2 linked regions of the Drosophila melanogaster genome follow. The protein of the gene in region 2 purifies or fractionates together with the protein of the main gene of each other region. This does not show direct contact. Each region holds a gene or a part of one and is shown on either strand. Other genes may lie near its edges. The genes, in order: Sirt1 and Hnf4.

What was found.
Region 1: the proteins of Hnf4 (region 2) and Sirt1 purify together in Drosophila melanogaster (affinity purification with western blotting, with the first as the bait; one study listed by BioGRID). This does not show direct contact.

The regions. Positions count from the first base shown.
Region 1 is NT_033779.5:13,163,375-13,167,296, reverse strand, and holds the start of Sirt1 (sirtuin 1), read right to left. Parts: upstream 1,734-3,922; 5' UTR 1,307-1,733; coding exon 97-1,306; intron 1-96. Other genes in the region: DnaJ-H (DnaJ homolog), read left to right, coding at 2,404-2,472, 2,535-2,981, 3,094-3,747. UniProt on the Drosophila melanogaster protein: NAD-dependent histone deacetylase involved in heterochromatic silencing. Mildly suppresses the heterochromatin-mediated silencing phenomenon known as position-effect variegation (PEV). Required for epigenetic silencing of the polycomb group proteins.
Region 2 is NT_033779.5:8,688,818-8,692,739, forward strand, and holds the start of Hnf4 (hepatocyte nuclear factor 4), read right to left. Parts: upstream 2,393-3,922; 5' UTR 2,378-2,392; coding exon 2,197-2,377; intron 1,436-2,196; coding exon 997-1,435; intron 809-996; coding exon 312-808; intron 242-311; coding exon 104-241; intron 41-103; coding exon 1-40. UniProt on the Drosophila melanogaster protein: Transcriptionally controlled transcription factor. Important for the differentiation of various specialized cell types that arise from both endoderm and mesoderm. May have a role in early gut formation.

The sequences.
Region 1 (3,922 bases), 4.5 Mb from region 2:
AAACACTTCTTTTGATCGTCGAATTTGAAATTCTTGCATTTATTTTACCAAGGCTATTGATAATATATAATAAATCTGTATAAAAATGGCACCTACCCTCGCCGAAAAAGACGATATCCGGCTTCATGATGCCGTTCTCGACCAGTTGGCGCAGCTCCTCCTCAGTAACGGCCACCGAGGCATCCACGCTCTGCTCCTTATTGGGCTGGCACTGCGGGCACACCGGAATTCGCTGGGCAAATATGTCCGCCCGCAGGGCGTCAGCGTTGCACTTGAAACGACACTTGGTGCACGAGGCCGTTGAAAAGGAGCCGTGACACTCGATTACTCGCTGAATGCCTGCCACCCGCTCGAGGGTGTCGATGTTCTGTGTGTAGTTGCGCAACAGTTTGCCCTTGGTCTCCAGCATTTTGATGAAACGATGGCAGGGTGAGGGCTGAAACTCGCCGGGATATATCTCGCGGGCAAACTTGTAGAACGGTCGTGGATCCCTCTTGAAGTAGTTGATATCAAACATGGCCTGCGGATCGGGCAGATCGGGAAAATCATGGGCCAATCGCGCATATATGCCATTGGTGGACCGGAAGTCCGGAATGCCGCAGGAGACGGATACTCCGGCTCCCGTTAGCACAATGATCTTCTGTGATTTCTTGACCAAACTGATGACATCGTCGAAGGTGTTCACTGAGGCCAGCTTGTTGCGCCGCTTCGGCTCGTTCAACAGGTGGGCCAAATAGTCCCACAGCACGGAGTCGTCGGTGTCGCCCGCCAGGCCGGTGGCGAAATGCGGCATAATGCTGGCAATAACCTGGCGCGGCACACGACCTGTGTAAAATTCTCGTTGCAACCAGCGCAGCTTCCAGTCGGGTTCCACGGATGAGGAGCAATTTGAGCTGGAGTCCTCATCCTCGTTGCTCGTTCCGGTGATTCCCTCCTCGTCGTCCTCCTCCTCCTCCTCATCGTCCTCTTCCTCCTCCTCCTCGTCATCTTCATCCTCGCCCATTGACTTTGTGGGATTTTTGGTTTTATGCTCCAAATTGGCGCCAATCTCTTGTTCTTCCCTGGCAGCCAATGTTTTTGTTTTGATTTCACCATTTGCTTTGCCAGCAAGTTCGCTTGTTGCTGGTTCTGTGGTTGTTGCTGTTGCTTCTGCCTCTGCCTCTGCCTCTGTTGACGTTGAGGCCAGAATTTCCGCGCCAAAATCAAACTTAGTTGGCGGATAGAATTGCGTAGTGTCTGGCACCTGGTTGCCCAGATCTTTAGACCTAATGTGGCCCAGGCGAATTTCCTCGTAATTTTCCATCATTTTTTCCGAACCCAAGCGCGCGCACACGCGCACACACACAGACTCACGGAGAGAAAACTCTCGTAGTTGGTGCTGTTGCTGGCTCTTCTTCTTCTTGCGCGAGTGTTTCCTCGGTCTCTCCGCTTTGCGCTCTCGCCTCGTCCGTTTTCTCCGCTCTTTCGTTGGTACACACAAAAATTTTTACGTCGTCAGCTTCGCACCCATTTGGCTTGATTGAAAAAATTCTCCAGCGATCGTTTGGCCGCGATTTTTTCAACCAACCCGACTTTATTTCACGTATATGCACGAAACTTAAATTTTAAAAAAATTTCGACACCATTTGGTTGCGATTTTTTCGTAATTTTCGAGCGTAGTTTCTGGAAAATTTTCCGATGAAAAAAGCAAGATGGCACACGTAGCTGCGCCTGTGTGTGTATGTGGGCTGGCAGACGTGATTCGGGTGGGACCCTGACACGTCGTGTGGAAAGTGCTAACGCGTTTCTGCATGGAAAGTGCCGCCAGCATGACTCATCACGGTATGTTTTTAGTATTTTTTGGGATTTTTGAGGGTGATTACGTGTTGCTACAGTGGCCACTGCCTTATGTCATATCTAATTTAATCCATTTCTTTAAAAACTGTTTAAAATATATCAATAATTTGTCAAAAAGTTAGTAAAATTAATTTTAAATTATGCTTCGAACTTTAATTTTAGCACTCTTTTACTTATCAAATTTACTCGATATTTAAACAATTAAGTAAAAATAATTTTTTTGTCCAATATTTACACATTTCATAGTAGTATTATAAATTGATGTATTGATAATATGCAGTTCATATGTCCAAAAACTTCCATCAAGCTGTTAAATACAAAAATGTGTAAACAGATTTCCAGAACGTTCCAGCAAGTGTCTACTGTTCCCCAAAAAAGCTGCGATTTTAAGTATTTATTTGGTACTTTCCCCAAAATTATAGGTTTTTGGTAGAACTTGGGCATACTTGTTAGCCAATATGACTTGAAAATATTGTCATAAATACATTGTTAAATAATTTAATAAGTCGTACACTTACAATGTACAAAATATTTTAGTTTGTAGGGGGACTGGGGATGCAATAGGAAATGGACAACCTAAATTTATACGACGTTCTTAAAGTGGCTCCGGATGCAACTGATGAGGAAATAAAAAAGGTATGTAACAGTTCCAATTCGATATGTTGGTAAATAGTTTGTATTCACCTTTTCACCAATAGAACTACCGAAAATTGGCAAAAGAGTTCCATCCAGACAAGAATCCCGATGCGGGCGACAAGTTTAAAGAAATATCCTTCGCCTACGAAGTGCTGTCCGATCCCGAGAAGCGGCGCATCTACGACCGATATGGATTGAAGGGCCTGCAAGAGGGCGCCGAGGGATTCTCTGATGCCTCCGAATTCTTCGCCCAGTGGTTCCCCTTCGATCGAGTCTCGTCCGAAGGTCGGGGCAGGCGCAATGGCAAAGTCGTGGTAAAAGTGGAGCTGACCCTGGAGGAGATCTACGTCGGCGGCATGAAGAAGAAGGTGGAGTACAATCGCCAGAAGCTGTGCTCCAAGTGTAACGGCGATGGCGGTCCCAAGGAAGCGCACGAGAGCTGCGAGACCTGCGGCGGAGCTGGACGAGCGGCCGCATTTACCTTCATGGGTCTCAGCCCCTTCGATACGGTATGTAAGAATTGATTGTAGTTGTAGTGAATGCACACCGCGGACCACACATCCGTGGAGATCCCATATACCACACTTCGGAGCAGATTATTTAAATTATTTTTTTTTGCAGACCTGTCCGACTTGCGATGGCAGGGGCTTCACCATAAGGGACGACAAGAAGTGCAGTCCCTGCCAGGGCAGTGGTTTCGTAGAGCAGAAGATGAAGCGGGACCTGGTTGTGGAGCGAGGAGCACCGCACATGCTAAAAGTTCCCTTCGCAAATGAGGGCCACCAAATGCGAGGCGGCGAATTTGGGGATCTGATTGTAGTCATCTCCCAGATGGAACATCCAATCTTTCAGCGCCGCCATGCCAATCTGTACATGCGAGACCTGGAGATCAACATCACGGAGGCCTTGTGCGGCTACTCGCATTGTTTCAAGCACTTGGATGGACGAAACGTCTGTCTGCGCACGTACCCTGGTGAAGTGTTGCAGCACAACCAGATCAAGATGGTGCGAGGCAGTGGTATGCCTGTTTTTAACAAGGCCACCGACAGTGGAGATCTCTACATGAAGTTTAAGGTTAAGTTTCCGGACAACGACTTTGCCACGGCACCGCAGTTGGCCATGCTGGAGGACTTACTCCCTCCCAGACAGCCGATAGTGATCCCAAAGAACGCCGAGGAAGTGCAAATGACGGACTATAAGCCGCAGCCACGACAGCAGGAAGACGAGGACGGACAGTCGTCTCACTTTGAGGGCGTACAGTGCCAGACGGCTTAGTGCATGTGGTTGTGGCTCCTGCAGGCGCGGTATCTCTGCCTCGATTTGTGGCTCATCCTGGGCACTTTCAGCGTAGATGAAGTCTGCTTCCTGGTGCCGCTGTTCGTCCTGATATGCATAGTATTATTTTTCATACAGGAATGTTTGCTGTGAAAAGCGCGTGATCTAAATTCGT
Region 2 (3,922 bases):
AGCGATTTGATGCGATGCGGTTCATTAAGACCCTTGGCATCTAAAGTTATTTGAAGAACCAATTATTAAACGGTCACTTTTGTAAATAAGTTAAATAACTCACTGGGATCGAAGAAGACTAGGGCCTTGATGCAAGCGAATTCAGTGTCATCGATACCCACATCCTTCATGACCGTCACCAGTTCATCGATGATACGGGCGCCGATCCGGGAGATGTCCAAATTCGGCGACACAAGGGGATCTGGAAAAAGAATGATTGCAAAGGTTATACCAATTTCACTTATAGGTTTTGATAGTATCAAAAACATTACCTGGACAGTGCCTTGTGATCACACAATTGTTGCTCAGCAGGAGAACATCCTTCAAGTGCATCGAACGACGAGACAGGCCGAGGAGCAAATGCTCGCCAGCATGGGCGCGTAGCAGTGCCACCTGGTCATCCAGCTGCAGCTCGTTAAAGGCCGGAATCTGCTTAGCCCATTCCACCAGGGTCAGCAGCTGCTGCTTCATCGACTCGCAGACATCGTTGATGCTCGCGAACTGCTTGTTGGAGAGGTCCTCGTTAATGTTTGGCTCCATGGCAGCGCCTGCCTTCGACTGACGCGACTCATTCTCCGCCTTAACCAAGGAAATCACAGACAGCCCATTGCCCGGATCCGGGTCGTCATTGGAGGTGCGGCGGCAGCTAATGCGATCCCGCTCGTTTTGCACCGCCTCCTTCTTCATGCCCGCCTTGAAGCACTTCCTCAGCCGGCAGTAGCGGCACTGATTCCGTTTGTCCTTGTCCACAACGCAGTTTCGCGCAAATCTGCCAAGAGAAGTTTAAGTTGAGTAACGAATGCGTATAGATAGTCGTAAACTTAGAATTTTCCGCCAGGTCCCGACACGTCCCACCAGGGTTATCGTTATGAATTATACAAATTATTTCTGACTGGAAATTTGGCATTGGGAAAATCTTAATCTCCCTACTAGTCCCGTATAAGGACATATGTGTACCTGCAAGTGTACTGATGATTTTTCCTGACACTCCTCCTGAAGAATCCTTTGCAGCCGTCGCAGCTGGAGGCTCCATAATGTTTGCCCGTCGCCCGATCTCCACAAATGGCGCAGACCGTCGGTGATTGCTGTTGTTGTTGCTGCTGCAATTGCTGCTGACTGCTGTTAGTCCCACTTCCGCTTCCGCTCAAGTTGTTGTTGGGTGAGAACATGCTGTTGTTGTTGTTGCTGCCACTGCTGGCACTTCCGCCTCCTGCGCTGCCCGCATTTCCGTTTCCGTTGCAGAGCGCAAAGTTCTCGCTGCTCTGGTTGCTACTGTTGCTCAGTCCCAGCCCACCGCCATTGGGGCTGAGGGCGAGGCCGATCGGACTGTGGGGCTGCGAGGCAGCCGGATAGGCAGAGGCCAGGGCATCCGCGTGCATTATGTGGCTCTCCGATTCTGCAACGAAAAGCAGGTAAAAGTGTTATTCATAAGATGAGTTGTATGAACAAAATCTTCATTAGAAAAACGTACATATATTCCTGACACAGTCTTAAATGTTACGAGGGCGGCCTTAAACTTTAATATATGTACAGTAAATAAGTGAGCAATATAAACTGTTGAAATACTTCTTAAAGTCATAACCCCACCAGCCCAGTCGAACTAGTTCTACTTCTTTAAAATGGAAAATATTCTAATCTTCAAATGTAAATCGCTTTGTTGTAAAAAGTGTTCCGTCATGGTGAGATCCACAGTTTTGAAGCTGCGGGTGCTGGGCGCACGCACAGTTTTAGAATTTGATCATGCCTACGCAAATTCCTCGCTAAGGTTTTGCAGCAACTGGATATGCCATTTTAAATCCACGGACAATCTTTGCAATCAAAGAGCAATTAAAAACATACACAGTCCGAAATTTCTGCACAGAGTCTAATAGAGAAATAATTTTCTTTATCATATATAATATGAAGTCGATACTAAATAATGTGTATGTGTTCCTTTAAGACTACTATTTTTTCATAAAAAGGTATATATGTACCAATAAAAATTATTTACTGGTATTTTTGTTAGTTTTTCTTTTATTTCGATCGCAGCTGTATAACGTACGATACACAGTGGTCATAGAGTTGGGATTGTGTGAAAACCAGCGAAAAATCGCGCAATAGCAACAAACAGAAACTGCACAAATAACAACAATATTAAAAATAAAAGCAACAACTGACCGTCACTGGATGCAGTTCGGCTGGCGCTGCTGTCGCGCCTGCGTCGACGTCGCCCCGCCTCTGCCTCCTCTGCCGCTGCAACTGCCACCCGCCCACCGCCCACTTTGCCACGCAGCAGAATGTTGCCAACGGCAACGCGATCGCGACTAGAAATCTTAACTCTACCGGACTTGCGCACCATTTTAATGCAACTGATTAATGAAAAAACACACGACTCGAAATTTTTCAGTCGCGGTATCGTATGTTGTTTCTTGGCACCTCTCCTGCTCTCTCTGCGCCACCGCACAGTGGTCTGATTTCAGAAAATTCTACGTTAATAAATATTACTCTCTTTCTATGAAAACAAATAAAAGCTGTTTAATAATGTTCCATAATGCTTTATGTAAGCTTTTTGACATGGATATGAAAATAATATTATTACAAAAAAATACTTTTTAATAAACGAATAAATAATGAATTTCCCCTCTAAATCTTATTAACATTTCTGTTTTGGAAGTTTTATATTCTAACATAGTTGGTTAGGTATTCTGAAGTGCGATCATATCAATATATCACCACGTCACCACGCGTTCTGAAGTTTCTAAATTTAGTTTTAAAAAGCTCGAATTCCCACCGTGCGTTTTGAGTGTGTGCGTTAATCGACGCTTAAATCAATTCAACTGTGTTTGCATATGTCGACCCCTCTCTTTCTTTCCCGCAGAGAGGGAGCGAGACCCCAAAACCAGACTTGGGGCTCTCACCAACACAGAGGCACGCAGCCGCAGAGATAGAAATTCATTTAATGGACAGAAGCAGAAGCAAGAGCAAAAGCAACAACAACAACATCAACGACAACGACATCGGCCAAACGAATAAACAAATAAATAAATAAAATGTGTACAAAAAAGCCGGCTTTAATTTGGACATCGTTATGAGAGACTGTTTGCGTGTGTGAGAAAATCATTTGGGGAGACGGAGAAAGAGAGAAAATAGAAATACTAGTAAAGCGGAAAATAGGCATCGACGGAAAATAGTAGTTACTTTTAATAAACAACAATAAAAGTGCTCGTACAGTCGATTTTAAGGAATACTTGTTTTTGAAAATTGAATAGAATGGAATTATTTAAAATAATTATTTAAAAAAATATTCTTTCAATTACCATTTTAATAGGTGTATAAATACTGTTATTATCTCGAAGCGTTCGCAGTGGGTGGTTCCCACAGATTTTCCACTATTTGCCTTATTAGTTTTCATATGCAGGGAATTCTCTAAAAGGTAATTGATTGGCAAACATTTACAATTTGAATAGACTTTTCATGATTGCACTCCAAACAGCAAATTGTTCACTTTGTTTACAGATTCTCAGACAGTTAATCACGGTACACCGACAATTCCGATATTATACACCTGAAACATATCCTCACCGCTTGAAAATCCAACTCGAAATAAGAGCAGTTGCTCGACCAAGAGAAGTTTAAGTAAAAAATACAACTGCCAAAAGTTCTTATCTCTCTGTTTATGGGTGTGCATTTGTTGTTTTCTTACACTTAATGTTGTTGTTCTACCAGTTGGAGAGGAAAAAGCAAACATACACTGAAACAGCAACGAATAAAAAAGGTAAATAAGAAACCATAATACTCGTTTGCTAACATTTCGCGCATAAAACTGTCTCGCCCCACACTCGCCATCTCTCTCGCCCACCGCAGCCGTTTCGCTCGCACACTCCGCGGGAGGGGGAAACAGGCT